Linked DNA regions of Danio rerio. The protein of the gene in region 3 interacts with the protein of the main gene of each other region in a pairwise test. Links are inferred from orthologs where the notes say so. Each region holds a gene or a part of one and is shown on either strand. Other genes may lie near its edges. The genes, in order: akap1b, akap10, prkar1aa and si:ch211-3o3.9.

Evidence for each region.
Region 1: the proteins of prkar1aa (region 3) and akap1b interact in a two-hybrid assay, tested with the Homo sapiens proteins (2 studies listed by BioGRID and IntAct). The link is inferred for Danio rerio from reciprocal best matches to the Homo sapiens genes PRKAR1A and AKAP1.
Region 2: the proteins of prkar1aa (region 3) and akap10 interact in a two-hybrid assay, tested with the Homo sapiens proteins (3 studies listed by BioGRID and IntAct). The link is inferred for Danio rerio from reciprocal best matches to the Homo sapiens genes PRKAR1A and AKAP10.
Region 4: the proteins of prkar1aa (region 3) and si:ch211-3o3.9 interact in binary tests that used the Homo sapiens proteins (3 or more experiments, as listed by UniProt). The two-hybrid records come from large-scale screens. The link is inferred for Danio rerio from reciprocal best matches to the Homo sapiens genes PRKAR1A and AKAP19.

Annotation. Positions count from the first base shown.
Region 1 is NC_133190.1:33,449,041-33,456,636, forward strand, and holds part of akap1b (A kinase (PRKA) anchor protein 1b), read right to left. Parts: exon of another isoform or gene 7,437-7,596; intron 4,397-7,436; 5' UTR 4,372-4,396; coding exon 2,847-4,371; intron 1-2,846.
Region 2 is NC_133180.1:67,932,526-67,940,121, reverse strand, and holds part of akap10 (A-kinase anchor protein 10, mitochondrial), read right to left. Parts: intron 3,971-7,596; coding exon 3,413-3,970; intron 1-3,412. UniProt on the Homo sapiens protein: Differentially targeted protein that binds to type I and II regulatory subunits of protein kinase A and anchors them to the mitochondria or the plasma membrane.
Region 3 is NC_133178.1:35,126,420-35,134,468, forward strand, and holds the start of prkar1aa (cAMP-dependent protein kinase type I-alpha regulatory subunit), read right to left. Parts: upstream 4,773-8,049; 5' UTR 4,675-4,772; intron 1,027-4,674; exon of another isoform or gene 1,024-1,026; 5' UTR 1,018-1,023; coding exon 844-1,017; intron 736-843; coding exon 568-735; intron 1-567. UniProt on the Homo sapiens protein: Regulatory subunit of the cAMP-dependent protein kinases involved in cAMP signaling in cells.
Region 4 is NC_133184.1:42,659,116-42,667,197, forward strand, and holds si:ch211-3o3.9 (small membrane A-kinase anchor protein), read right to left. Parts: upstream 5,456-8,082; 5' UTR 5,006-5,455; intron 1,408-5,005; 5' UTR 1,189-1,407; coding exon 919-1,188; 3' UTR 435-918; downstream 1-434.

The DNA.
Region 1 (7,596 bases), on a different chromosome or scaffold from region 3:
GTATTAAAAACGCATAAAAAGGTAACATAGCAGATGAAATACAGAGCAATAAATAGAGAATCTGCCAACAGATACAATTCATAAATCACCTGCTACTAATCCTGAGATGATCTGGATATTGTAAATACCACAGTCATTGTAGTTGGAAAAATATGGCATCGATTCCACATACGCTCCAGACAACATTTCTATAACTTCTATCGAAATCTTTTAAGGCGTCTAAACAGATCATTCTTTAAAAGAAATTCAAATGCTAATGCCTGCTTAGTCAAGTCATGACAGTCTGCTAAGTAACCATGGGTTAACAATAACAAACACAACCAATACAGACGAAAATGACCACTGACAAACAAAACAAGCCTCTTCCCTCAGGACGAAAAGCTATTGTGTTTTTTTTTATTCACACCCTTAAGGCAGTAAGTCCTCTTCTGTGTAGTCACTTTTCCTTCAATCTGACAGTATCAACGATTATTCATTTACTTGGGTTATACTAACAAGAAAGGAAGCAATTTTAGTTTTGCTACACTTTCTCCTTTCATTCAAATGTTGATGGGCTGAAGACTGGCTGTGTTCCAGACTGGATTAATCCACCTTAGAATTGCAATTCATTGCAAACCAAAGGGCACAAAACTGACCACTTCAAAATGCCTTTTGGTATGTAGGATTTTAAAAGATATAATTGGACACTTTTTACTCCAGAGATTATTTGTGCAAGGTTTCACACCCCTGAACGTATAACACGCAAGATGCAAAAGTATATCATGACAAATTCCTTTGAAACTCTCTATCTACAAGGTATTAAGAATGAGACCTTTAGAAATGGATCAGAGCAAGTCTACAAACCTCACAATATGACAGGAGGATCAGCAAGCAGTGACTGGTGTGACAACACCTTACAAGTGTTTAAGCAAATAACTCAGTTTTTCTGTCATCAAATCAGCAGAGAAATGCCCCAGGCCGTAAAAACAAACATTGGATGTCACCGACCCAGTATTGTTATGTTCTTGTTTATAACTATTGATGAAGAACCAATAACAAACTTACTACTGCCCATTTCCAACACCTGGGGCCTCATGTACGAAGACTTGCGTGGAAATCATACTAAAACATTGCGTACACACAAAGCTGTAAATGTGCGTACGCAGAAAAAATTTCAGATGTATGAAACACTGCCAAATCTCACGCATATTCTTTTGTACATCTGAATGAACGTGAAACTGAGCGCAACATGCACGAGCACAAAACCCCTCCCTGCCTCCTCCCCCATATGAATATGCTAATGACTATGCTAATGGAAAAACCCAACGAAAAAGCAAAGACAAAATCAAGCAAAAAGAGAAACTTTGAACAGAATGTGAATTGGAGGTGCTGCTTTCGGAGGAAGACCGGAGAAAAGCGGTGTTATTTGCAAGTTTGTTCTCCGGAATTAACAACAAAAGAAAAAAATAGAGTGGGAGAGTTTAGCTGATGCGGTCAACACAGTTGGGTCTGAACATATCGCACTGAGTGCATTAAAAAAAAAAGACATAGTCTGGTTTATATCTGTAAAATGTTGCAGTACGCTTAACAGTCTCAGTGGCGCGCTCGTAAGACGCATTTGATCATGAATTGATACGTTCGAGCATGAACTCGGCTCGATTCCAGCGTCTGATGAACTCTTGTTTTTTCCCCCGCTACATATCAGATTTTGCCAACTATTTATCACGAGAAAGACAAGTAGGAATCATCAATAAGTTCATATCAATAAGCATCATATTTTATTTGCAAATTTATTGAATGGAAATGTTTCTGATTCACGCATGCAAATTCATCTTCAGATAGTGTCTTTATAGCAATGTGCGTGCGGTAGATCGCTCAGATTACATTGGGAAAACAGGCGACTGCTGCAAATTGTGCTTTAATGTTTAGCTGGTCAAATGTATGGTATGGAAACCTTATATACCTGCTGAACCCATCTCATACAGCTGCCATTGCATGGCTCAGACACTTTGTAGAGAGGAATTTAACACAACTGCCTCTAGGAGTCGCCAATGGAAATAAAACAGACACGCACAAAAAATGTGCATACGCCTGCCAGAAAGCTGCCGTGAAGCTGCGCACATTCCCACGTTCAGTTCATTGTTAGTAAATCCAAACGTGAGCGATTCTGAGCGTGAAACCTGGCGTACGCAAAGTTTTTGTGCGTACGCAGCGTTGATACATGAGGCCCCTGCTCTGAAGCAGATAATTAAAAAAATAAAATAAAAAAAAACGCAAGAGACTGCTGATAACCATGTAAGGTATAGCAGGGAGCAGTAAAAACAGCCGTGCACATGTGATTGTACTCATGTAACATACTCTGTTTTGGAACTTGAGCATCTGAGGTTTCCAAAGAGTCTATTCACAGTTTGAGGTACCCTTGACTCAGGCTTTTTGAAGTACTACATTTGGCCAAACATCAATATGAGTATTGTCACTGGTTAGAGTTAAATAAACTAAGCCAGCTGAAAACAGTGGTCTTCTTTGTGAACAATAAAATTATTAGCTTAATTTTGGTTGAAAACATTTGCAGAAAATTCCTTTACAACTGACAAGCTGCAAACTAAGCAAAGTGAATTACAAGCTATTCTAAGGCTTTGAATGAATTTGAAATAAACATACCACATAATACACTGTTAAACAAGCCACAATTAAACAACCTGCCCAGGTGGAGTTTACATGGAGTGTGCAATATCAGGAAAAGCTCAAACTTCACTGAAATGTAACTGAATTTCCATTCTACAGGTTCAAAATGGCAAAATAATTATTTTTTGGGGTTGATTCTTGATTTGAGGTCAAATCTTTGTGTTAAAATCTCAAGAACTCACCTCCAGATTGGTCAGCGTCTACCTCACTGGCGGCACCATTCCTAAGGCCTGTTCCATTTAACCGTGCTGCCTCACAAACCGTAGCCACATTTTCTGCAGTAAGGGGTGACTCCTGAGGGGCAATCAGAGCAAGACTTTCGTGCAGTCTATCTTCTTGACCCTCTGTGGCCTTACAAGTCCCTGAAATTTGAATGAGGTCCTCTTTGCTCTCAGATACTGTCGAAGACAACCCTGTGCTATGAAGGTCCTCGCTGCTGACGCCATCCTCGGACTGGCACGTGCTACATCCGGAGTCTTCCACTAGAGCTTCCTCCGCCTGCAACTTGGCCAGAGTTGGTGTGGATTCCAACTGTTCTCCAGACGGCACAGACAACAACCCTCGATCTTTTTCATTCTCCGGCATCTTCCAGAGCGAAGGTGCTAGACAACCATTGACAATCTCTTCTGCTATCTGTGCCGCCCGGGACTCTGCACTTTTTGGAAGTTGACTAGATTCCTCTTTACCATTTAGAGCCAGTGTGCTGTCGTCGGATGCTTCTGAACCTTTGCTGTACCGGGACTCACAGCTGCTGACTGCCATGACCTCCTGGGTGGCTGCTGAGATAACCTCAGTGATCAGCCCCGCCGCGAGACGTTGAAGCTCCTGCAAGTCTGGACTAGTCTCAGCCGGCAGGCCCAGGTCTCCGTTCTCATGATGCTGAGCCCCAGTGGAGCTTTCTGAGAGGGGTGTGCTGGTGGAGTTGGGAAATGAGGTCAAATTTAAGGGTGTTTTTGGGCTGCAGGTCTCCAGCAGGACAGCTTCACTCTCTGTTGAAGATATAGTGGAGGCCAGTTCATCTTTAGAAATGTCAGCCTGCAGATTTTGAGCACAAGTTGTTGCTAAGCTTTCAGTGGCCACCTCTCCCTCAGGTTCGGGTCGCTCTGCTTTGGCTAGCTCTACAGAACGCTGGCTAGTTAGTGTTTGGTTTTCAACCTGCTTCTTGATTGAATCAGTGCTTGCTGGCGGTAACTGGCTTGATGGTCTGGCATCAGTTGCGACATCTGGTCCTTTGTGATGAGGGGTTTCCTCAACTGTTTTTGTGGGGGTTGAAGATGACACAGGAGTTGTCTGGCTAGTGGTCTCTGGGTGGCTTTTGGGGGGGACTGATTTTGTACCGCTGTGAGGAGCGCTTAGTTGTCCACTTGCTAAGACAACTGGAGGGGTGCCAAGAGCCTCTCCTGCAGTGGCTTTTAGCACTGGTGTGTGAATCTCCGCTACCACTTCCTGCTCAACAGGCCTGTGCTCTTTGGCCTTGACTCTGTCTTGGCTGGTTTTACGGTGTGTGCTGCTGGATGCAGGGCAGCTTTTGTCGACCATCCCATTGCTGCCCTCACCAGAGGAGGTCCGCAATCCCATGAGTGAGTCCTCCTCACTGTCGTGGCTGGTGATTCGCTCTTTTTTGCGGGAGATGTACCACCACCAGCCTATGAGCGCCAGCACTCCGGGAAGCGTATACGGAACAAAGGACCGGAACCTCAGTGGCATCTCCGTTGGACCCTAGCAGCTACACCTGCAGATCAACACAAGGAACGGATATTAATCTAATTTTGTCCATGCAATATGTAACAAATAACAATGCTGTGATACGATGCAATATAATGAACACATTAACATCAATTATTAAATCTTATTATTAATGTTATAATGTATTTATTTATTTCAAACACAGTTAAAGTTTATCAGTAACTCAACGTTTATACAAAGACAACTGAGGAAGAAAACAACTGAACTGCCTAAATTTGCCTCAAATAGCAAACCTCAGTAATAAATTAAAGTACAAAAAAGATTTTTCGTAGGGGATTCTTTTTCCATATTGATACTAAATATAATTAATAAATTGACACAAAATACTGATTTGAGTTGAAATTACATTTATTTAGCAAGAAGCAGCCAGAGTGATTCAAAAGATAACTTGGCACAGAATGTTTAGCTGTAAACTAGAGGAAATATCTGACCACAGACCATCAGAATCTGAAAGAATTCCAGGGAGGCATGTAAAAAGAAAATGTTTTGTATCTAGTTAAAATTGCACTGCCTTTGGGAAGTGAAAGAATCTGTGAGTCATCCTCATCCTGGATAAATTTCACCCTGATCAACAATCATTTGTCTTGTTCACAAGTCTGTGCAAAATTTTGAGAAGTACCACCTCATCATGGATCTACAACATGCATGGGCATAGATCCATACATTGATTATTATATAATATGCATCAAACCTTCTGCACCTATGTACTACAGTGTTTACAGTATATTCTGCCTTGTTACTTTACAGTGAGAGACAGGAGAGTCCTGGCCAGCCATGCAGAAACTTCAGGGACAATATCACATGGCTGATATTCAACCTCAGAGGCTGCAGGGAGCTACGTGACATGTCTACCTCTTTGCTATTGGCTGGGAGGGGCATCCTTTCAGAGTTAAAAAAAGGACATTCATGCATGCCTTTCCATCATGGGAGCAGCATTTCCCAGTCTCCAGAACAGGAAGAAGACATCATGCACAAGTCCCTCCCATTCACTCCTGTACATAGTTACCAAAGATAAAGGGGTTTCCGTTTCTCGTCAGCTTCCAGATGTTTCAAAAAGCAACCTGAACCTGCTAACTTATTCATTGTCAGTAAATGAAAAGTACTTTCACGTCTATCAGTTGAATCTTAATATACAAACATATTTTGACTACATTTATCATTAAAAAGTAATTAAAAAAACATGAAATTTGTCATCAATTATCACCCTCCATTTGTTTGAAACCTTAGGTTATCATCTGTTGCTAAAAACTTGCTAACAATAAATTGTGAAAATTCTTGGTAACCAAACCAAAGAGGATAACTACCAATTTACATTCATCATCACAAATGCAAATGGGGTTGGCACAAGTGGAGGGTAAATGAGTAATTGAGAGAAGTAAGCGAGGGCAGCTGTTAAAGTACAATGTTAAATGCATCTAAAACTGAGTCTTCATGTTATGTCTATCATAATGATGCGATCATACGAATACTTCATAACCACAAATAAAAGAGACATCAACTACCCGCTTGGCATGCATATTATAGCATTTTAATTGTATTTGTGTATCTGTTTGAAGTTACTGGAATAATTTTGATAACACTGGTCTATACACACAACTTTTTAAACCCAAGAATTTCCCAATTGTATGTGCATTGTGTGTAAAAGCACCCCTAGACTGTATATAAAGGTGTTGCATCTGTAGAAGGTTGCAAAATACAGTGAAGCAGAACTCCTTTTAGATGTACTGTACAAGAAACAACACTAGTAAAACAAGATAGCTGTACATGAACTTAAGCAGTAAGTGTGCTTAAGGGTTACAAAACCTCCAAATCACTAAAATAAAAAGAAAATGCCATAAAAACTATATTAATATAGCATTTAAATTGACACTCAGATTATTTATTTGTGGATAGATTATGTGTCTATTTATATATTCATCAAATGTCACAATTTCTACAAATATATTTTGCACAAATGTAGTTCGTTTTATATTTTTATTATCCCAAGGTGTTCATATTTTATACATTTTAATTATTATGAGTTTAGCTCATTCTAGTTCAGCCCAATTTTTCTGTTGTCTTTGTCAAGCATCAATTTTGCAAGACGAGCAGTACTTGCCAATAAACGTGAATAACTATATCTCATGTACTTCTGAAAGAATCTGTTATAGTACCAGATATGGAGGTTGGTCAGAGAACACAATAGTCATAATATTAATACTACACTGTCTGTTAGCGCTATCAGTCTTGAGCACGTTTCATGTTACCACGTAGTCACATTACAGTAGTTTCTGCTCAGTGAAGTCTTCCTGAAACAGTTTGAGTCCAGTGTTCACCTTCAGCACGAGGTTAAATAGATGCTTGCTGAGTTTAACGCTCGCTGTCATATCATGGCCTGAGCGCGTGCGCGAGCGGACCATAGAAAAGAGAACCGAGCGCGTGCTGCACGGTGGCCGTTCGACCTTGGGAGGTGTATAGATAACGGAGAGGGCACCGTAGCCAGTCATTCGCGCAACACGTTACCTACGAACCCATTGATAGCAAGTAAGCGGCTTACTAGTGCTGCAGCATTCAGAATACAAAAGCGAACCTCCGATCACTCCAGCGCGTGAGGTAACAGTTACGCGCACCGGCTGCTGGTGGAGAATTACACCGAGACACACGAAAGTGACGTTCTCCGTGCGTTATATCACACTGCCAATGCAGCTAAAGCCAATGATATAATTGTGCATGAAAGTGCACGTCCCCACACACATTGCGCCAGATGTCTGAGAGGTTGCAATAAATGCTGCGCGTGTTAGCACTCATGCTAACCGTCCATTGCTGCTGCAGCTGCTATAAGGGCTAACGAGAGAAATGAGCTAAATAAAAGCGGCTGCTTGCTAATTTCCCGACAGCAATGACACAATAAACATAAGTCATGGGATTAAATAAAAGCGGACGCGCATAACATAGCCAGTTAGCGAGGTGATATTGACCTACAGTGCGCGTGGTAGGCCGCTGAATGAATTGCAACCCCATGCAGCTATTTAGTCCAAAGTACTGACCGCTTCAAGTATCTCCAGTTTAATCCGAATTCACCGGGTAACCCTCCACCGAGTGCTCGTTCTTCAGAGCGGCCCTGAATTATCCATGAGTTCACAGAAACCGCTCGTCCATGTGGCTTCGGTACATAATTCAGCTGAATGAAGGTGTGAGTTGACTTCA
Region 2 (7,596 bases), on a different chromosome or scaffold from region 3:
ATTAGACAGTATTATATATGTTCATGTATGTATTGAATTTCAGCATTGTGCATATATGCACGCAGCACACACATACACACAAATATTTGTGCATTGAAAGCTTCCAAAGCACAAAACTGTTCAAATTAATTTATAGTGGAACAAGGTTTTTAAAAGGAACACCTAATGGAAATAGGCTCATTTTACAAGTTGATCTTTGGGTCGAGCATTTAGCATAGGGTCGAGACTATTAGCATAGGATTTTGTTAATTTTCCTATTTAAAGCGTGTCTCTTCATAGGGTTTCTTTACAGCATCGATAATTTAGTTAAAATATAATCAGTTAAATAAACGCTAGCATTTATGTACTTGTACAAGTGTAAAACGAAATGCCGTTTAAATGCAAGCGTCGTCAGGAGCAATAGATGAGGTAAAACTGTGGTAAAATAAATGTTTATATTTTAATAAACGTATATAAACAATAAAAATATGCTTCCTTTGTTTTCATTCTCCTGCTCGTGTACGTGCTAGTGACCAATAGCATTCAACTGCACATCTAGCTCCGCTTTTTGGTACCCTTTTGTTATGCTAGGTACCATTTCAAAAGGGTACCCAAAGAGTAGTACGGTACGGTTCACTTTTTGGTATTTTTTCACAGTGGAAAGGGTCATAAAAGCGTACCGAACCGTACCGTACCACTCAGTGAAAACGGGCCTTAAGAGGTATCAATAATCCTGGACCAGATCGAATCCTGAGTGGATGCTATGGGGGTCATGGAGAAGAGGAGAGCATGGGACTATCCTAAAAGACCCGGTGACAAACGAGTCTACGCATTCATCCCTTGGGTCAGTCTAAACACCTGCAGCTTCTCCATGATGGACGTCCAACGTTCTCCAGCCTCCGGCGCCTAGACTGCAGCTCTGCACAAGAAGTTTGGCCAGATAAAAAAATAGTCTTGCCCAACTGAGCCTGGTTTCTCTCTAGGTTTTTTCCTTCACTTTCGTCAATTGGTAAAGTTTTGTTCCTCGCCCCTGGCTTGCATGGTTTGGGACCTATGAAGCTGTGCATTGATGGATTTGCTCTTCAGTGTTTGGACTTGAACTGAACTTCAACTCTAAAAAACTGGACTGACACGCTTTCAATTTACTAGAACTTTCATGTTAAGCTGCTTTGATACAATTTACATTGTAAAAGCGCTATAGAAATAAACATAAATTAAATTTAATAAAAAAATTTCATGGGTACTGACAAAACTATAGAACAATGTTACATTTTTATTTACTGAAATGTTGTCTAAATAATATCACATCAGAGGCTATTTCAGGGCAAATACAGATGGAACGACTGCTGATCAGCCATTAGAAGCAAGACTGATGTTAACAGTGTTTGAGTTTAATGGGGGTCTATGAGATGAGGAATCTCATCAGAGCATGTTTTAAATGTTGAAGCACTTTTCATAAAATCCATCTGAGGTGCTCTGAAAACCTAGCACCAGCCTTATAAAACGCAGTGAAGTGGACAAAGACTTGTTCCCTTTTAAGACAGCGAAGGCTCTCGGCAGAGAAGCCATGGGCTGATAGGATCTGACTCTCCTTCTAAGCTGATTTGATGTCTTTCGGCTCAACTGGCTTTTTCCATTCACTGCTTTTACAGCCTGGAGCTTCTTTGTATTAGCCATTAATGAACACTCAACTCCTGACTTCTGCTCATTTTGCACCACTGCCAAGATGCTAAATGGGATCATTTACCAAGCCTGCGCTATAAAACCAATGCCGTATGGATATTAAAAGTCATCGTCCGATACAAAAGGAATATGTTGTAATGGTAAAAGGCCACTAAGCATGGAAAAACCCATTGGAGTTAAGTACAGAATTACAGATATTAGGGTTTCTCTGTTGAAAGTGATGATTAAAATGCAGGCTAGGGGAAAATTACTAATGTGCTGCAAACTGTAAAGCTTAAATACTGTGTTTTTATATTCAGCTAAGACGTTATTTAAATGTCAGAGTTATCAAACTGCATTTTTTACGTAATTTAAAAAAATATTTGTTTACTTACCACTAGGAAAACTCCTACCTGTCAACCCTCCCGTTTTTCCCGGGATTCTCCCGTATTTTACTGTTCTATCCAGCTATCATCCAGTAAAGGTATTTTCCCGTATTTATCCCATATTTTCGGTCTTTCTCTAAACAGCTGAGCCTCCCTATACGCAACCCATACCGCCGAACCACCAGGGGTTGCCCCATGCTTTAAAACGTGAGTCTTCTGTGCTTTCGCTTTGTTTAGGAATGAAAACACTTTTAAATAAATACTAAAAATGGCGCGATTCCATTTCCTTTTGATTGGAGGTGCCGTCGCCAATCCTATACAATCCTCAAAACAGTCATATAATGGTGCATGACTGTCAGCTGACGTGCTCCATAGTGATAAACAGATGCTGTTTCCCAAACAGATTCTGTACATGCGATTTGAAGCGGAGAGAAAAAAGTCTGGCTTTTGGGTGCGTGTTTAAACAGACATACACACATAATTAATAATAATAATAACATATAAGGATGTCGATCTTGGCCTTAAATAAGCATAAAATGTAGGGAAAGCAGGCGAATGCTTTCATTATAACGTTAGATGTGTGCATTTTTAAAGTGACACCTGTTATTCAATGTAATAAAAAAAAACTTAATAAATGAGAGATTCCTTCGTTGTTCTTTAATCAGAATGTATAAGTTATACAGTGGAGAAATGGCTAATGAGATTTAATAGTTTGACTCTATGTCATTATAATAGCTATTAATTTTAATAAGCTGAACTGTTTGCTAATGTATTTGCTGCTAATCTATATATTTATTTCTCTTTTGTTAATAATTTTAAAACATATTACATGACTATTTAACTGTTTATTTACAATGAAACATTGAACATATGAATGAACATATTTAGTAATTTGGGGATTTTATTTGGGGGGGGGGGGGGGGGGTTGTTGGGGAAATCCCTTATTATGGTGGGCATATCCCTTATTTTCACATCCCAATGTTGACAGGTATGCTGATCATAGATATATGTATATATGTGAATATACGACAGGCTCTCAATGGCCAGTCCTCCACATTCATTTCAAAGGAGCCCTACCCTGTACTAAAATGGCTGTTCTATTGACGCATTTCTAGCGTACGTGACATCTAATGTAAATATCTGTGGGTGGAAGTGATAAACTCCAAGTTTTAGATGATTATATCAGGTTTATGTTTTCTAAACACAGATTTTGTCACTGTTTTGAAACGCACTAGCATATAAATTTCCCCAGAACTAACAGACCTAAAATGTTTCATTTTAATTTCACGAGATCTTAAAATACAATATTAAAGCACAGAATATATATATCGCGCAGCAACCATCCTCAGTGGAAAGTTAATGAGGTTGTCAAAAATGATACTCACTCTTCATAAGTTTGTCGGAGAGCTCACGAAGGCCTTTGACTGGTGTGCCCGTCCTGGACGAGGTCTGTCTGGTGGGTGTTTCTGATCGGAGCGCAGGCTGCAATTGAAGAGTCCCGGGCTGAGCCGTCCCATCAAAGCTAACAGAGTCTCTGTGGCTCATCAGAGCCCCACTGTGAGAGTTAGTGTCCTGGGGACTGGGGGTGTGTGGTCTGGAGGACGTCCTAGAGGAGAAAGCATCCTCTTCATCTCCCTCATCCAGATTTAAAGGTCTGCTGGAGTGGTTTGGGGAGTCAGGCGAGTCTGGTGATCCCAGGGCAGCTGCGGGCTCAGCCAAGGTGCTGTGTTTGACTGAGTTGAGGCTGTGCGCCCTAACCCGCGACCAGCTGGTGGAGCGAAAGCTTTCGGCCTCGAGCCAGAAGCGGACCAGGTGCTCGGCTGAGCGCGTCTCCATGAACTGAATGAAATAGGGCAGGGCCACATTGTCCCGCAAGATCTGGTCTACAGTTTTGGAAAGCCGAGATCGAGTCTCTTGAATCTGATAGTTGACACTTGAGCGACCTGAAAAAAAAGGACACATTTTAAAACCGGTGCTTAAGACTTATTCATCAATTCAGAGATAACAAACTTGAAGGGCTTTTCTACTGCATGACATGGTCCGGTTTGGTAGGATTCCCACTATGTTACTATGTAACTAGTATTTAACTTGGTGCTTTGTTAGTACCACCGTAGGTGTGGTTTTAAGCGAGCCGTACCATTACCAAAATGTGACACTATACACACTGCTGATGACCGATTGGTCGGAGAAAATGGTCACAACCAACGTGATTACGTTTGCGACATGATACACGAATCCTGACATATTTAAACAGTCAACTGCAGTCACTGCTGTGCTTTTGGATCGCACTGTATAGCTGGTTTAATGCTACTTGAAGAAAAAGCTGCCTGAAATGGTAGCATTATGTTACAAAAAAAGGTTCAGACATTCCCCTTGTTAGTTGTAGATATGGAATGATAACCAGTTACTAGGTTTACCAGGGTTTGGAAATGTCAAGGTTTTAAAATCACAAAAATGTTCTGTTATACAGTTTCTACGATATACTGTGTGTAATATTATTTCACATATTTTAACTAATCTTTTTACACCTGAAAACCAACATCCTATATACAGTAGATATGTCTGAACAGTGCAGTGGCTTACTTTATATCCAAAGAAAAGAAAGATGCCTTTTCATGTTGTAAATAAATCTGTGTTTTTGACACTAATGAAGATAGCAGACGTTTCAATTATTTAGCCTCCAAATATTTAGTTCCAAAATATGTCAAATGTAAGTTAAAATAAAATATTTTGCATTCACACAACAAAAATTTTAGTTTTTTACAGACAGCTAAAAAAAACATATTTTAGAGCAGTAATCACAATACCGTGATATTTTTATCCAAGATTATCATACTGTCAGAATCTTATATTCGACCCATACTTAGTTGCAGGACGAATGGGAATGGGATGAAGGAAAAAAAAAAAAAAACGTTTTCAGTAAGTCATGGAAGTAGAGGTGGCACAACTATAGTGATAACGACACACTTAAAGCAGTACTAAACAGTAATGGAGATGCAATCTGAGACAAGCAAAATAAAATCAAAGTGAGCCAAGCCAATGACGAATTTTACAGAACCGTAGCATGCAGTGGAAAAGCAGTTTCAAAGAAGCAACAACCAGATAAGGTTTGGACTGGTAGCAAATAGCTGCCTTATTTATGTAGTGCAAAATGTACTCAAAAACTGAAACCAAAACAGAAGCCAATAAATATAACAATAATAAAAATATATAAAAATATATAAAATAAATCTCATAATATACACAAAACACTATGAAAAAAATATTAAGTTCATAGCATAAAATAACATGAATTCTAAAAACAAACATCTAATAAAGTCAAAACACAAAACATTAACAAAATATACGAAACAAAATAAAGTAAAATAAACTATTAATAAAAACAAGTTAAAAACAAAACATAAACAAAAAATACCTTTAAAATAAAAAGATGCCTAAAATGGCAGCATCATATTCAGTAAAAGAGGTCCAGACATTCCTCCTCTTAGTCGCAGGATGGATGGGGGTTACAGTAAATCATTGTAGTAGAGGCGGCACAACTATAGTGATAACCCCACACAGTACTAAACTGCAATAAAGATGCAAACCAAAGCGCACCAAGCCAATAACAAACTGTACCGTACCATATCATGCAGTGGAAAAGCACTTTTGAAGAAGCAAAAACCAGACAAGGCTTGGACTTTGTAGCAAACAGCTGCCATATTTGTGTAGTGCAAAATGTACTCATAAAAACTGAAACCAAAACAGAACCCAATGAAAATAACAATAGAACATAAAAAATTTAATATAAAACTAAAAATAAGAAAATATCAAGTATAAAAAAAAATGATAACCAAAATACACTCAAAACACCATGAAAAATGAAAAAAAAAAATTCAGTTCATAACATAATCAGAATGCTAAATTCAAGTCAAAACATAAAACATTAACAAAATAAGCAAAACTAAATAAAAAACACTACCTATAAAAACAAGTTTAAAACAAAACATAAACAAAAAATACCATAAAATCAAATAAAAAGAACAAGCAAAACAAAAGAAAAAAATCCCAATAAAAACAAGTTAAAAACAAAAAATACCTTAAAATAAAAAACAAAACAAAATTAAATAACACTACCAGCAACCAGCATGTTAAAGACAACAAGTTAAAAACAAAACACAAACAAAAAATAAAATAAATAAATAGTATATAAAAAACAAAATAAAAACACTACCAATAAAAACAACACACAAAAAACTAAAGAACAAGCAAAACAAGATAAAAGATGAAAAAACACTACCTATAGAAACTATTTAAAAACAAAAACAAAAAAAAATGTAAATAACAAATAAACAAGCAAAACAAAAGAAAGTAAAAAACACTACTATTAAAAACAAAACATAATCAAACCCAGACCCCCCAAAAGAACAAATTATTAAAATAACCAAACACACAACACTGAACAAAACATAACACAATAAATTCCCAATAACAAAACGCACATTAAAAGGTTAAAAATAATAAATAATTAAATACAACACATAAATAAATATAATAAACAATAATATAACAACAGTCTAACGAACATAAATAATCATAATATTCAAAACTTGGCCTGGCATAAAATATCAACACTACAATAGCTAAACAAACACATTCTGTACAAGTGAACACCATTGATGCCTCGAATTCAGACTTGTGGCATCTCCAGATCACACCCAGCCATCTATTTCTAATACACAGCAGCAGCGCAAACTCTGTTCCATAAATCAACAAACAAAACAAATCTTTTAATAGAGCCGGGACCTCCTTTGAATGTGTCGAAAGAAAGGCCACACCCTCCTCTTTCAAAACCAGAAGATTGGGTTTAACATACATTTAACTAGGAGGTGAACTATCCAGTAACACAACGCAAAAGAGCCGGTAAAATACTATCCATCTTTATGTAGGTGTTAAAATATGACGTTAAAGGCATTGTGCTTGTTAAAGTCACCTCGCAACACTGGTTTGTCAACAAATACGTTTCAATGTTGCTTTTCTTTACATGTAAAAGAGGAGTCATTGTAACTCAGACAAGACCTTCTGTGCTAGATGATAATGCTGAAGATGACATTTACAGTATGAGGATTAAACATAGTAACATTTATATTTAACCAATTTAAACAATGGTTGCAAGAATTGTCTCATCTTTTGGCTTAAAAATATTCATATATAAAGTTTTTCAAAATATGGAATCCCTTTGTAGGATTTCTGAAGAAAGCTGATATGAATATTTGGTCTATATAGCTGTAACTTGTATCACCTGTTACTATTATACCATTGTTTGCTTTATATTGTATTTGTATGTTTCCAAGTGATTAGTTGCAGCTGAAAGGGTCTCCGCTGCGTAAAACATATGCTGGATGAGTTAATAGTTCATTCTGCTGTGGTGACCCCAGATTAATAAAGGGACTAAGCTGAAAAGAAAATGAATGAATGAATGTATGTGTATGTACAGTGCATCCAGAAAGTATTCATTAGAGCTGCACAATTAATCGTTAAAAGATTGCGATCTCGATTCGACCCCCTAAACAATCTTAATCCAGCATTT
Region 3 (8,049 bases):
ACAAATGCTTACATAAAAAGCAACTGAACTGAAAAAAAAATGTTATGAAATATTAGAGATAGGGCTGTGTGATATTGTGAAATTTTATTTTTCTGATGTACAAATTTCATCAGATGACTTCAATAGCTCTATTTGGATTCATTAAATTAGTTTAGATTGATCATGCATAAAATATAATAAACAAATGAAAAAGTAGTAGGCAAGCAAGCAAAAAAGTAAGTCATGGTTGAGGTTAGGATTAAAAGCATAGATAAATACAATAGAGCCAACAGTCACAGGTGTTAAAAACACAGGCAGATGATAAACTTTCTCTCTATTATGGTTAAACTCCTCAGCGAACCCACAAATCTGATGTGTTCTGAACTGTAGCTCCTGCTCAATTATAATCACAACATATAAAATCACATAAGACTATTGCAAACTTCAACATTACATTACCAATACTGAAATGATATATTGTGCTGCCCTATTTTGAGTCATGATTTATTGATATGAAATACTGAAATAATGCCATACAAAAACAAGTTTTTTTTTTTTTTTCAGAAAAGCAAGTAAGAAGTTATTTACCTTTCTGACATAAGAAGTGGCGTCCTCCTCAGTGTAGACCTCTGCACTGATGGCACCACGGCGCCGTCGGCCTTTAACCACAGGGTTCATAGGAGGAGAGACCTCATCTTCCCGAGAATCTGAGCGAGAGCTGGACTTCTGCTGGCTCACCATCTGTTTAGCCTCCTCCTGATTGACATAAACACCATTCGTGGAAGTGAGACTTACTTTTTATGAGTATAGAAAATGTGTAAGTGTTCAAGCCCATGCGGTTTTCCTCTGAAGAACACAACTGACCAACTCAAGCTTCTCGAAGTAGTCTCTGAGGTAAGCCATGGGTCTTTCAGGCCTGGCGGTGCACAGCTGCACAATGCAGTCCTTCAGCAGCTGCTGGATGTTGTGCTTCTGCACGTAGCGCTCACACTCCCGCAAGCTCCTCTCTTCTTCACTGCTCGTACTGCTGGACGCCATGATGACCTGCTGACCCGACACATGCAATTCACATCAGTTCATGACACTCAAGGAATCTGAAGTACAGAATTAAGATCTGACAAAAAGTAGATGTTTTGGAAGTTTTTTTTTTTCTGGTGAGCACTTGAGGCTAAGTAATGGGTGAGTAAATGGTCATGTTTGGATGAACTATCCCTTTCATTCTCCTTCAGAATACAAGTGGAAGATATTTGTAACGAAATCTGAGAGGTTTCGGTTCTTTCACAGTTTACACAACGGCCACTTTCAAGAACCAGAAATGTTGTAAAAACATAATTAAAGCATGTGACTCCAATAGTCCAACCTTATTTTTTCCTCACTGTTTAAAAGGGTTAAATTGATGTGTCATATGAGGAAACTAAAATCCTGAAGAACAGCAGCCTCAGAATCATTTACTGGGGAATGAGTTACATTAAAGCTTTCATCTGGTGGTGTCAGTTTCACATACTTGCACAGGTTTCCCTTGGTTTGCCATTGAGGAAATGCAAAACAACAGGGAGAAAGAAAGTTTTATACAGTATTATCTTTCCACAGTAGACGGCATCAACTGGATGCACTGTATTGTTAGAATATCTGTGCTCAGGTCAACACAACAAATTCCTCATGGAGCTCAACATGTGTCAGAATGTAGACATGACGAAACTGAAAGAAGTTATTTTATTTTGTACACAAAAAGCATTGCATCACCTCATTAGAATATGAATATAGCTCATGTAAACCTTACTAAAGTTTTACTTTTATACTAAAAATTTGGCACTTGAAAGTGGTTGTTGCATGGCCTGTCAATAGAAGGACAAACAAACCTATGAACAAACATCTCATCAAACATGTCCTAGGTATGGTAAAGTTATGAGTTTGAAACAACATTGGCAAGTAATTTTTTTGGGAATTTTCATTTTTGGAGACTTTTACTAAGTCATCTTTAGTGTATTTCCAGTTCACAGTCACACATGTTCTTTGAATGGAGGAAAGAAAATAAATGCCTTTGATGCAATAAGTTTTTATTTCACTGTAAATTCTAATATATCATTTAATTTTACATTAACGGTTTCTGAGTAACTAATTACTCATTAAAGGTTTTGGGCTCCATTTATGTGCAGCTGGAAGGAAGTGGTTAAAGGGTGTTCTCGCCAAGCCATCAAACTAACTTCACACAGAACATTGTTCTTGAGTGAAACATTATTTTCAGATTTTAACTGTAGATTTTAAAAATAAATATAATTTTTCTCTGGACTGGCACATATAAACTATCCACCACACGAATAATAATGTGCTTTATTAAAGTAAACATGATGAGTTTTCATTGCATAAAGAATTTAAATACAGAATTACTCAATATAACAATTGTTTTTGTACTGCTGAGACTTTCAGAGAAAACAGTTCAAGACACTAATAAAATCAGGCATCTGGAGTCAGCAGCTTCATTGGCAGCGCTCCAACCCAAGTCATGGCTCAGGGAACTTTCGTAATCCTGCACCCCCTTTCTCCCACTTCATTTCCTGTCCACTGTCCATATATAAATATTGTGTCGTATATCAAGCATACGGGAATAAATTTGGATTTTTGTGGCATCTTTTAAAACACTTACTATACATACATCTTTTGTCATTATCATGTCTTTACTTTGATATAACAGTCATATTAACATATCCATAGGGGAATCCTATTTTCTATTCTCCTACCCTTACACAAACCTTTCTGCAATTTTATCAAACATTTATTATCATTTTTAGTGATTAAGATCCACCTTTTCCAGAATGTGCCTACTGTGTTTTTAAAAATATGGGTGGTATTACTAGTTTTGGCCTTAAACTTTCATCATTTCAAATAATGAAGTTGAATTTCAGATTCATATCTGTAATAAAACTTGAATGAGAGGTATTTATTCTGTTGCACTTCATATTTAACTCTCATGAAAATAAATCAAATTAATACACTTGGTATTTTAACAAAACGTTACTCAAACAACGTCACAATAATATCTATGGCACGAGCTCTTTTCAGTTTGATGCTTTTGCTTCTCCAGATTATTAATTTTCTCTTTATTTTCTCATGTAAATAAAACATTACTGCAGAAAAACTTGTCTCATGACTTGCTGAAAGCAATTTGCTAATTATACTAACTTTCCTTTTAATAGTCAGTGGTTGAACTCAAATATTTCTGTTAGGATAATTAAATTTTAATTTTCAGTGTGAAGTTCTCATTTAAATTTTTTCTAGAGATCTGCCATTGTGGTATATCAGAGCAGTTACTTACATTGAAAGTTTGCATCCATTTTTTTAATCAGTCCTTATTGAGTTTAGTTTTATACATTTGTTTGTTGTAGGCATGGGACAATAACTGTTTTCAAGGTATACCGTAGTTGGAAAAGTCATTTTTTTTTACCTGTCAAATGTTTTTGCTATACCATTCCTGCGGTATATGCAAGATTTCTTTAATAATTTTTTTTGTTTGTTTTTTAGGACAGCAGTATCTCCAACAGAAAAGATACCCAAAAGTGGTGTTTCAAATGGTCCAGAAGTTTGTGTTTTTGAAACTAATAAAACAGCAGAAGTCTACGATTTATTTATAATATTTATCCTGACATGTTCACTGCTCCAAAATACTTAAAATGTTTCTCAAAATAAAATGTGTTCAAAGAGGGGAAAAAAAAAGTTTTTGTTTTTGAAACTGTGATGTTTTCATCTAAGGGTATAATAGTGTCAGAATCTTACACCGGCCCATGTCTACTGACTGTACAGCACTTTAGTACATGTGTAGCTGTAAAGTGCTTACAAGATCAAATAAACGAGAAGGATATGGATTGCAAATATTTATGAGAAATTGTAACTTTTTAACATCTAATGAATTTCTACCTGCACAGAGAAGTTAAATGTGTAAATTAAGAAGATTAAAAAAATGTGTGAAAAAAGAAGAAAAACTAAATGTGTAAAACATTCAAAGTTTTCTGTATAGATATGCATCTTTCTGGTCTTTTTATTTATATTTCAAAATGTCTTTCATGACAGTGGAAGTCCTCTGGATTAAACCCCACGTGAAACATCCAGGTCATAACCAAATCTATCATAAATCCATGCTAGCAGATAGTGATGTTGCTGTTAATACTAAATGTTACAAGCTTCCAAACGTGTTGTCAAACTGAAACAAACTAACATAAATCTTACATCGCATATCTAGTCTAAAATCTCTACTTTAACTTACAATGACACCACACAAAAGCGATATATACTGAACTTTCATCTAACTGTTGATTTTTGACAGCCATGCTATGGCTCCTGGTTCCTGTCGGGGCCCCTGAGCTCATAAAATTCGCAGTTCGCATCCCCACAGGCATTTCTCAACATTACGCCATTCGGTCATGCGAAAACAACCATTTTGGTCCAGAAAACATATTCCAATATAACTAGACTTCATTGAGTCAATGTTAAAGTGTTGATCGGCGTAATCCTGCAGCTTCTTCCAGCTCTGTGTTTTTTGTAACCAGTTTTGTCAAGCAGCAAAATACGCCATCTTGCAAACTACATTATCACAACAACGGAAGCCGATGGCATTAAATTAACGTCTCTACGAGCTTGTCAGCTCGCGTATCGACATCATCAAACGTTACAGTAAAAGCCGCTGTATTTAAATATTCATACCTGAGTCGCTTCGAGGAGTTTGTCGACGTGCTTTACTCCGTTTACACTGATTTTCTCACAGTCCTTGGATGGATGGACGCCTCACCGGAAAAGGTTATGACCAATCACAAACAACGATTGACGTCAATGCGCCTCGATCTGGGAAGCCGGTTTCCCCTGACAACCTTAAAGGGCAAGGGCTTGTTTTTGTATTTAGAGAGGAGATCGAGGTTATCAACCAGAAAACTCAGAACATTCGGCCGCACATGACGTGAGGGTATAAATCACATTTTACGCTCCTCCGGGAGTGACATTCAAATACAGAAGGACAGTATTCCTTACCCACGTGTTTAGCACTGAGAATGAATCTGGTGACAGCTGAAAAGGTTAATGGCTCTGTACATAAACCCAAGCCTAAATTGTGCCAATTCAAGCAGGGTCACAACACTGCGAAGATATGACCCCCCCTTAAAATTAATGTCTGATTGACTGTTATTACAGTACACCCTTAATAATCTAGATTTAAGTTTTCTTTTCCTTCAGCTGAATTGACATCCTGCAAAATATTTTCATTTCCTGAACTTATGCTATGAATCAGGCCATGCAAAATGTGTCAGGGTGAAACCAGGTCCTGTTTTAGTGTCTAGGTTAAGTTTACAAAACAGATTTACAATCATACAAATGTACAATATTATAAAACAGTTGGCGATACCCATTGAATCTATAAGTATTAGTGATATAGTAATTGTGTTTTGCATATATAACTTCTATAATAGTCTGTGTGTGTTCAGCAGATGTAAGATGCTCATAAACGCTTTACCCTCTTGAGATTGAGTAAATGGTTAATAAATGTATTTCTTTTTTGGAACTGTGCAACTTTAAAGGGCACCTATTTTACCACTTTTTCAAGATTTAAGATGAGTCTTTTGTTTCTCCAGAATGTGTCTGTAAAGTTTCAGCTCAAAACAACCATCAGATTATTTATTATACCTTTCTGGATATTTTCTGCTCTGGACAAACTGTAGCTGTTTTTGTTGCCTGTGCCTTTAATGCTAGTTCTCCCCGCCCACCATTCCCAAACTTGTCAGAGTGTGCCACAATCTCAGCTGAGTCAGATAAACAGCACAGTGACAGACAAGAAGGAAGCAGATCTCACGTAATGTTTGTGAGAAATACTACAGTAAGAACTTTACTGATGCTTATTTTTTATGTATTTGTTGTGGAGTTTATTTAAGCCTTTCGATGAGTCACACAGAGTTTTATTACAAAGTGTACACACGCACACACACACACACACACACACACACACACACACACACACACACACACACACACACACACACACACACACACACACACACACAGCACTCGTGTTGAATTTTGCACTGATTTTGCAATGCGAATGTGAGAGGATACATGTTATTATCCACTGCTATATCGATATCTGTAATGTTAATGTACAAAATAAACCTGATTTAACGTCCACAAACCGAGATTGAAGCTTCTTTTATAATTGTACTGACATGCGGCTGTGGTTACAAGTAAAGATGGTAAAATTGCTGTAATTTCTTACAAACATGCACTGTTTTAAAAAAGTTTTTTAACTTGTAAAACTCACTCTTAATAACATTTGGTGATGATTGATGATCACAGAGAGCTGAACAGATCTTTTAATCTCAGTTGCTATGCGCAAGTCCTGTATTGTTGATATTATTATATGCGTTACTATGGAGACATGTTTATGCAGCTGTCAGTCAATTCGGTGGGCGGGGAAACCGCACTCTTACGTCACGTGTCTCTTTAGCCCCTTTCACACATACAGACCTTTCCGGAAAATTGCCGGCAATTTTCCGGAAAGGTTGTATGTGTGAACAGGTCCTTTTTGAAAATACCGGTAAATTCGTTCTGGCTATTTTCCGGAAAGAGAAGTTGTAACATTACCGGCAATTTCCCGGAATGCTGCGCTGTGTGAATGCAGAAGGAAGATTACCGTAATAAGCGCGTGCACGTCTAGAACGTGCTGACGTGAGACGTCTGCTTTAGCCAATCACAACATTCAGACGCGTTTACGTCCGCGCGGTTCATGAGAATAAAAGCCTTTGAATATTTTTCCAGACACATTTAGCTGCTAGAAGTTAGTCAGATCACGTTTGTATGTTCTTCTTAATGCCAACTGTGTAAATAATCATCGATGAGATGCTTATGATAAGCCGTTGTTTGTTTACCTTCAAGCTTTGCGTGTGCCTGTGAAACAGCCTGTGAGCGCCTGCACACGCACATATTATGAATCTCGACATGCGAAAGTGATCCTGCGAAAGTTGTTCACAATATTGATCATCCACAGAGTTTGTAATTTATAGTCAAATGTTTACAAATACAAGCGCAGCCGTTCAAAGCTCATTTGTAGTGAATGATGTCAGAATTTACCGGTATTTTGGAATGGATGTGTGAATGCTCTTTTCCGGAAAATTTCCGTAACATCCTCGCCTGTGTGAACAGCGCTTTTTTCAATATACCGGTAAAGTCGTTCCGGAAATTTTCTGGATATTTACCGGTATCACTGTGTGAAAGGGGCTATTGAGTGCCTTAATATGGGAGAGATTTGGATCCTATTTTAACATTTATTTAAATTTTTAAAAAGACATGTTCTCTTTACATCACGCCAATATGACAGTGGAGACACTATACCTACACATAGTTCTGTCCAAACAGCTTCAAAAACATGATTTTCATCATAGGTGCCCTTTAAGTTCAACTTAATTCTTCCACGAGTGAAAATTTCTCCTTTCTTCCAGAGTGAGCGTTTGATTTTTGGTTTCATCTCCATATCAGCTAACTGAGCATCCCTTAATAGACTGTAACTTTCTTCCCGCAAAATCACCAGTTTACAGCAGCATAAGTGGTGACACAATTTTTTAAAGGGCAAAACACATTTTCAATTAGGCTTTAACATATAACCCAGTCTCTATAAAACAAATGATTTACCCTTTAGTTAATGATGAGGACAAGACTGTACAGGCCAGGTGTCAATATCAGTACATAAAGACACACCCTCTCTTATCTTCTCCTCCCTGCTGCCTCTGCAGCCCTCCTTGCCACTGCTCAACCTCATTCGTGTCGACTGCCCAGAGTCCACGAACTCAGCCTTTCAAAAGCTCCAGCACAAGGATTCAGGACATTTCACTACCTAGCAAAAGAGAGGAAGAAATAAAGGTGAGGGCATAGCCAATTTTCCATTGTCAGATTGTTTTATATGCAAACCTGCATTCACTTCTTAGTGACATCAACGTAACATGACTTAACTGGCACTTTAGTGGCAAATTGAAATAGAAGATTGACAAGTTTGTAAAGTATTTTATGTATAATCTTATGTCAATTGAAAATAACTAGGCTTGA
Region 4 (8,082 bases), on a different chromosome or scaffold from region 3:
TTTGGAACACGTATAGACCCAAGATTCTCAGAAAAATCTGTCAAATTTGGTGAAGGAAAAATCATGATTTGGGGTTAAATTCAGTATGGGGGAGTGCAAGAGATCTGCAGAGAGGATGGCATCAGCCTAAGGTATCAAGACATTTGTGCTGCCCATTACATTACAAAGCACAGGAAAGGGGCAAATTCTTCAGCAGGATAGTGCTCGTTCTCATACTTCAGCCTACATAGCAAAGTTACTGAAAGCAAAGAAGGTCAAGGTGCTCCAGGATTGGCCAGCCCAGTCACCAGACATGAACATAATTGAGCATGTCTGGGGTAAGATGCAGGAGGCGGCATTGAAGATGAATCCAAAGAATCTTGATAAAAGAAGCGTAATCTAGAGGTCGTTGTCTTTCATATAAGCCACTTCTGATACCAAATAATCAACTAGAAGTCAAGTTATTATTAGTTGTTCCTAAAACTTGGATAAGCAACAAGTCTTTTGTCAGGCGGTGTAGATCCAATTATAAAATGTCATAATGAGTAGAGTCAGGGCATCCATTTTAAACATCATTCCCTTGTAGCAAACTAACAAGAGGGATGTGTTTAAGAAAATGGTCAGACTTTGATTGAAGATTACAATACAAACCTTTTTTTTTTTCAGGGGACTATCTTGCACGGATTAATTGCTGACTAAAAGAATAACCATTTGTCCTAGCAAAATAAATGTTGTAAATTTTCATTTCTTGCGGACTTTAATGCATGAAAATAAGAAAAATGTCTGAATATTTAATGTAAATCCTTATGGGTAAAAAAAATCTCTTCCAGAAATGACACTGTTCTTCTCTGGCCTGCATTTGTCCATCTGATTGCGCTCTTTCACATACATGTGAGATGTGAGCTGGACCAGTCCATTTTTATTCCACTCGGTATAACATTATGGCACGTCACACTCAATGTAGGGGATGTCACTGTATCGGCTGTCCACTTCCGCCCACTGCTGTACTGCCCGGGCCACAATTTCCTCCGAGAGCCTCTGGGCATAGTCCAGCAGCACCGGATTGATCCGCACTGAGTCCTCCATAGAGCCGATCTCTGAAAACACTAAAACGGCTTTCTCTCCATGCTTTCCTGGCTTCCCATCCACTTTCTCCGATGAGTCGGAGTTCTGAGTGGGGTCGCGGCGCTTGGATTTCATGCATCCCATGATATAAATAATGTAGCATTGGTTTGAAAGCAGTGAGGGGAAGAGATGCGAAGATGGCGTGATACAGAGGTTATATTCCCTTGGTTGGCAGTTTGTAGGCTTTTGTTTTGTAAGAGCGAGAGGCTACGATGTGGATGTCTTTCTGTATAGCATGTTGTTGAGACAATCCAGATGGTCAGCCATGATGTATAGCGTCCACATAGCCACCTTACACTTGCCCTGTGTGAAAAGGATGCAGGGTTGCAGTGAGTTATTGCTTGTCTTTGCCTGGCTAAATATACGTTTTCATGAAGACTATTTTTCACATTGTCTTCTTGGCAACCTTGTCCATGACACTGTAATAACTTCATCTTCACAGCAATGAGGCAGTATAGAAAACATTGCATGTGCTTAGATGCATGAGCCTACTACAACCTGAAATAAGTCAGCAAGCCTGACTGCTTTCAAAATACTTTGTGTTCATGCTTGTAGTTCAGTTTTCTAAATTTGTTTGATTTGGACCAAAGTTGAAAATTATACATTTCCATTTTACAATTTGAAAGCTTGTTGAAGTGTTAGTTACTTTTTATTATTCGCTCAGAAGTTAGGAGGATCTAATAAAAGAAAGTAAAAACAGTACAAAAAATTCTTCATTTGGACATAAATGTCAAAGATCTGCTGCAAAGAGATCTGCTTCTGACATATGAATTGAACAGGTATGCTTGAGCACTCTGTCTCTTTGTTGTCAAATCTTGACATCATGTCCTGTTTTTAATTAATTTCTGTGTTTTTGTTCTGGTTTATATTTCCGTAGCACCACGCCGGAGTTAAACTAGAAGTGAACCAAACCCATTGTTTCAGAAGTCTCTGTCTGTTTGCCTGATGCACACTAATGTTTAGATGGTACTGTCCACAATTATTCAAATAAAGCACTCTAAAAGAGTACTTGCATTAGAATTTGTCATTATGGCATCATGTGAATCTGACAATTGTGACGTGACCAGGGGCGTAGCCCAGATTCTTGGGTCCTGTAGGGCCCCATTTACATTTTACATGATCCATGCCATTTATCACATCTTTAAACACATTTCCTTTTCTGGTATTTCACTGATGTGAAAACCGTCAATGGTATTAAAAGATGAACAAACAATATTTTAAAAAATGAATAGAATTTTTAAAACATGCAAAGATTGGCAGACGGCACAGCAGCGTAATGACATCATCTGATTAATATTCAATTATTCATGTGAGCAAAATTACATAAAAATTCATAAGAAACGATTTGTTAAATATGATATGCAATAACTTTTCAACCTTGTTGTGGGCTACAGGTGTTACACTTTTATCTGTCAAGAGTATTTATTATTAGTATTAGTTGTCAAGGGTATTTATTATTAGTTTTAGAGGGGATTTTCTTTATTATAGTAGCCTTAGTAGTATTATAGTAGCCGGTTTCTTAATCACTGTAAGGAATAACTGGATGTATAAGTTGCATATTGTGCATGTTTATTATCATACACAAATTGTACTAAAGCAATTGTACGTGTTTGTATCTAAAAAGTTAATATCAATAAATTTTCTCTTTGAACCACTTTGTGTCGTAGTCCAGATTGCATACGTTTACATATATATATATATATATATATATATATATATATATATATATATATATATATATATATATATATATATATATATATATACTATTTTCCCAAGTGAACATAACTACTACTGTAAGAAAACATCAGAATTCAATACATATTTTCAGTATTATCCTAGCTAGAACTGACCCGATCTTCTCCTAAATGAAATGAGCCTGCTCCTGAGCAGGTTTGAGCTACCAGAACTGTTGCTATGACAACAACTTTCGGATGAGTTTTGAAGAACGAAACAATCCTGGATTTGGTCAAATCGTCAATAACCAAATCCAGCTAATTGAGTAATCCACGTACAAAAAACAAACACCTGGAGGGCCGCTGTCCTGCAGATTTTAGCTCTTGCCTCAACACACCTGCATGGATGTTGAAAGCCTAAGACCTTGATTAGTTAGCCCATGTGGGTCTGATTGGGGTTGGAACCAAACTTTACAGGACGCTGGCCTTCCTGGACCGAGTTTGATCACCCCTTGTCTAAATAGTGCTATAGAGGATATGCTTAATTTTATGCTATAAATAGAGCACCTCCTCTTATTAAAAATTAAAACTTAATGATTTTTAACATTCTAATTATTTGTTTTATTAGCTGCAAAAAAAAAAAAAAACTTATGATGGAATCTATGGATCGCACTTTACAATGGTTCTGGGCATACAGTTGAAGTCAGAATTATTTGCCCCCCTTTGAATCTTTTTCCTTTTTAGATTTTTCCCAAATGATGTTTAATAGAGCAAGATAATTTTTCAAAGTATGCCTGATAATATTTTTTCTTCTAGATAAAGTCTTATTTGTTTTATTTCAGCTAGAATAAAAGCAGTTTTTTAATTTAAAACCATTTTAAGGTCAAAATTATTAGCCCCTTTAAACTATATATATATGTAGTATATATATATAGTCTACAGAACAAACCATCATTAGTCAATAACTTGCCTAATTACCCTAACATGCCTAGTTAACCTGATTGGCCTAGTTAAGCCTTTAAATGTCACTTTAAGCTCTATAGAAGTGTCTTCAAAAATAGAGTAAAATAATATTTACTGTCATCTTGGCAAAGATTAAATAAATCAGTTATTAGAAATTAGTTATTAAAACTATTATGTTTAGAAATGCCTTGAAATAATCTTCTCTCAGTTAAACAGAAATTGGGGGAAAAATAAACAGGGAGGCTAATAATTCAATAATAATTCTGACTTCAACTATATGTTGATATTATTAGTTAAGTCAAATATCTAATGATATGTGCATGTTTTTATTCATTAGCATATAATGTTTAAAGTAACCCAGTTCATATTTAGCTCAATTTAAAGCTTCAATTCGTATTTGCATGAAACCATACTATTAATTTACCTCGTTGTATCTACAAATAAGCTATCATGTAGTTATAACAAATGTTCATGTATAGCACAGACTTTTTATAATGTGCTTTATTTGAAACGCATCTTAATATTCTCCTCCTGGACTCGTCGGTTCATTTTGTTCACACTGAAATGCACTTACTTCGGTTCAATGGGTCTATGAGGTGTTAACTCCGGGCCGATTCAGTTTGATTTTGGTTCAACTGATCGTCCAAATGATTCGACTCAAAAGAATGATTCGTTCACGGATCGGACGTCTATTACAGTAGCCTATTTATTATCCTGAGAAACGCTGCTCCTGAGGATGGCTAACGACTAACTTTCCTCACAACGAAAGCCGGTTGACTCGTTTTGCTGGTATAACACAAATCGATAATGCCTCATTTATTAATATAAATCACGTTCTGTGAAGGATATTGTGGATTTTAAATGTTTTTAGGCATCTGTTCATATGAAAGCCTATATTAATATTTTCCTCGGTATTTATTCTTTCCGCCTGACGCTCAAATCCGTTGTTTACATCATATGCACATCAGACAAGGACAACCGACAGTCACTGTCTGGAAATCTAAAGTGATCAACAGTTTAACAACATCATGATATAGGCTACATATGATTGGAACGATATATCCAAGAGAAGACCGAGGTTACATTTCTAGCTCTGTTTTCAGGTGTGTTTTTAAATTTCACGGTTCGTATTTGAGTCAAGAAAGCCTCAAGGTCAAGGCAAAATATTATTTCTGATTGGGGGAAAAATGCACGATGTTCTGGTTTTGTAATCTAACGCTAAAAGTGCACATTCCTGTGATATAATCAGAGTGAGTACATACCTATTCAGACTGAAGGCTGTAAGCTTCAACAGAATGGACAAAACATCGAAGAAATCATTTCATCCACGTGGAAATACGTTATTTAAAAGGAAAACTGAGATAAATCCACACTAATCTGCTTCCTCCAGTCTCGGTTGCTTCACCGGAGAATGAGAAAGCATGTTGATGAACTTGCTCTCGTAGGATAAGTCGGGTCAGAATTCAGCATGTGCGTCCGGAGTCCACGTATAATGATGATAACGTTTCAGTTTCATTCCAGTGACAGGACAGCGATGGAGCTCAACACTGCATTAATCCATGTTGCTTTTGAAGCCCCTCTATCTATTCAGAAACGGCCATCCATATGACTTCATTTAAAGCTAGTGAATTATTCCCTAATTCTTTTCACGTGCACACTTATTTCCAGCTCTCTTTGCTAAAACATTTGTTTGTAAACTGGGTAAAATAGGTTACTGCAATACACGCAGACACAGGTTGCGCCTCGGTGTATTTTGAAACACTATCGCGCCATCTAGTGGACAGACATGACTGTTCCTAATGCAAATATGCAGAACTCAATGCAATGCAAGGGCCCACCCTAGAGAGAGGTATGAAGTATCTCGCAACATTTCAAAAGCTTTTAGTGAAATATGAGAAAGCAAAATGCATTATTCTGATTCCACGCAGGGAGAGAACTACATGCTGAGATCGACATACATGAAATAATTCAGGTTTCATCAAGACTCAGTTATAGGGTTGTGAGTCCTTATGCCCTCTAAAGTAAGTTAAAGTAACACTGATTAAGAAATATTTTTTCAGTTTCTTTGTTTTCAGTATGATGCTGCGTGCTTAATAAAGGGATACTGAATTATTTACGCACCCTCCCCTTGTTTTAAACATTTGAGAGTTTGTTTATTCTGTTTTACACAAGCTTTTTTTCTATACAAAGGGGTTGGACAATGAAACCTAAACGATTGGTTTTAGATAATAATTCAACAATAACTCATTAGTATGGTCCAATACAGCATCAATACAGCAATACAGCCAATACAGCATCAATTCATCTTGGCAATGACAGATACAAGTCCTGCACAGTGGCCAGAGGAACTTTGAGCCATTCTTGCAGAATAGTGGCCCGGTCACTAGGAGGAAAACATTTCCTATTTTGCTCCTCCAACACACCCCAAAACGGCTCAATAATATTTAGATATGGTGACTGTGAGGGCCATGGGAGATTTTAAATTTTACTTTTATGTTCGTCAAACCACTCTGTCACCAGTCTTACTGTGTGTATTTGTGCATTATCATCCTAAGACACGGCACCACCTTCAGGATAAAATGTTTGAACCACTGGGTGCACATGGTCCTCCAGAATGGTTTGGGAGTCCTTGGCAGTGACGTACCCATCAAGCACAAGCATTCGGCCTAGGGAATGCCATGATATTTCAGCCCAAACCATCGCTGATCACCCCCATGCTTCACTCTACAATAGTCTGGGTGGTATGCTTCTTTGGGGCTTCTCCACACCGTAACTCTCTCGGAAAGACAGTGGGAAAAGACAGTGGGAAAAGACAGTGAAGGTGGACTCATCAGAGAACAATACATGTTTCACATTTTCTACTGCTGGCACCACTGAAACTGTTTGCATTGGCACAAGTGACCAAAGGTTTGGCTATAGCAGCCCAGCCATGTATATTGATCCTGTGGAGGTCCCGACGAACAGTTTTGGTAATTCTGCAATGAGTTGGGTAGCTATGGTTTTATGTTTTTTTTTATACAATCCGAGTTAGCAGCCAAACATCCCTTTCGGACAGCTTCCTTTTGCGCCCTACAGTTACTCCTACTGGATGTGGTTCGTCCTTCTTGCTGTCTTGGTCACAAATGCACCAGTGAGACGTGCACCAACAATTTGGCCACTTTTGAAATCTGATATGTCACCCATAATGTTGTGCATATTTTAAGCGAAGCTGTGCTATCACTCCGGTGATTATACTTTCACACTCTGCTCTTACTAGTGAAATGTGCAGTCAATGAAGATTGGCCACCAGGCTGGTCATATTTAACAATGAAACCTTCAACACTAAATTGACCAGTTTCAGTTTCATTACCCAAGCACTTTTGTATTTATTTTTTAAACTTATCCTGGTTGAAAAAGGTGATTGTAAATGTTGAGTAAATCCATCTAAGGAATTAAAGTGGGGGAAAAACTACACTATAACTTTCCATTTTGTGGAAGGAATAGTTTGCAAAAATGTCAAAAGTTGTTCATGGAACCACTGAGGTCAAGTGGTTTTACACTGTAAAACCCAACAGTGTCAACTTTGTCAAATGAAATGAGTGTAGTGAACTCAAAACATACTGAAAGTTAATTCTACTCATTTGAAGAGTTTTGATCTCAGTGTTGAAGGTAATGAGTTGATTAAATACCTCATTACTAGGGCCAGATGGAATCTGCAGACATTTTTTGCTATTTCTGCGCAGAATTTCTGCAGATTTATGCTGAATGATTTTGGGAGTATCATAACTAAAATCTGAATAATATATGAAATAAAAAGTAATATCTTTTTAACTTGTATTTAATGTTTACATTCCAAATCCAATTAGATCCACTTTATTTGGTAAACAAAGCAAGTCTCTCATATAATATATCTATCTAGATTCCGAATGGGCCTACTCATTACTTCAACTTAAATGGAGTAAGTTCACAGTAATCATATAGATTAGTTTTTTTAACTCAATTTTTTTGTTGCAATCGGTTTCCTGAAATGGTTTGAGTTACCTTAAATTATTGGGGTTTACAGTAAAGGAATTTTATTTTTAATAATGTACAATAAGAAAAATTCTATTCACTTTTGATGTCATTTACTATCAGTGACTATTTGAGCAATGGAAGTGTGGCATTGAATGGTATTTGTATACATGCCAAATAAATAAATGGATTTGAAATATTGATTCGCGTTAAAAATATGCTTATTACAAGAGAAACCAACTGAAACTGATGGGAAATACTTGACAAGTCTTGTTTACAGTTTAGTGATCGCTGACTGACATCACAATTGCCCTGGTATTCAGTGAACCATAATGTCATTTTATTAGCC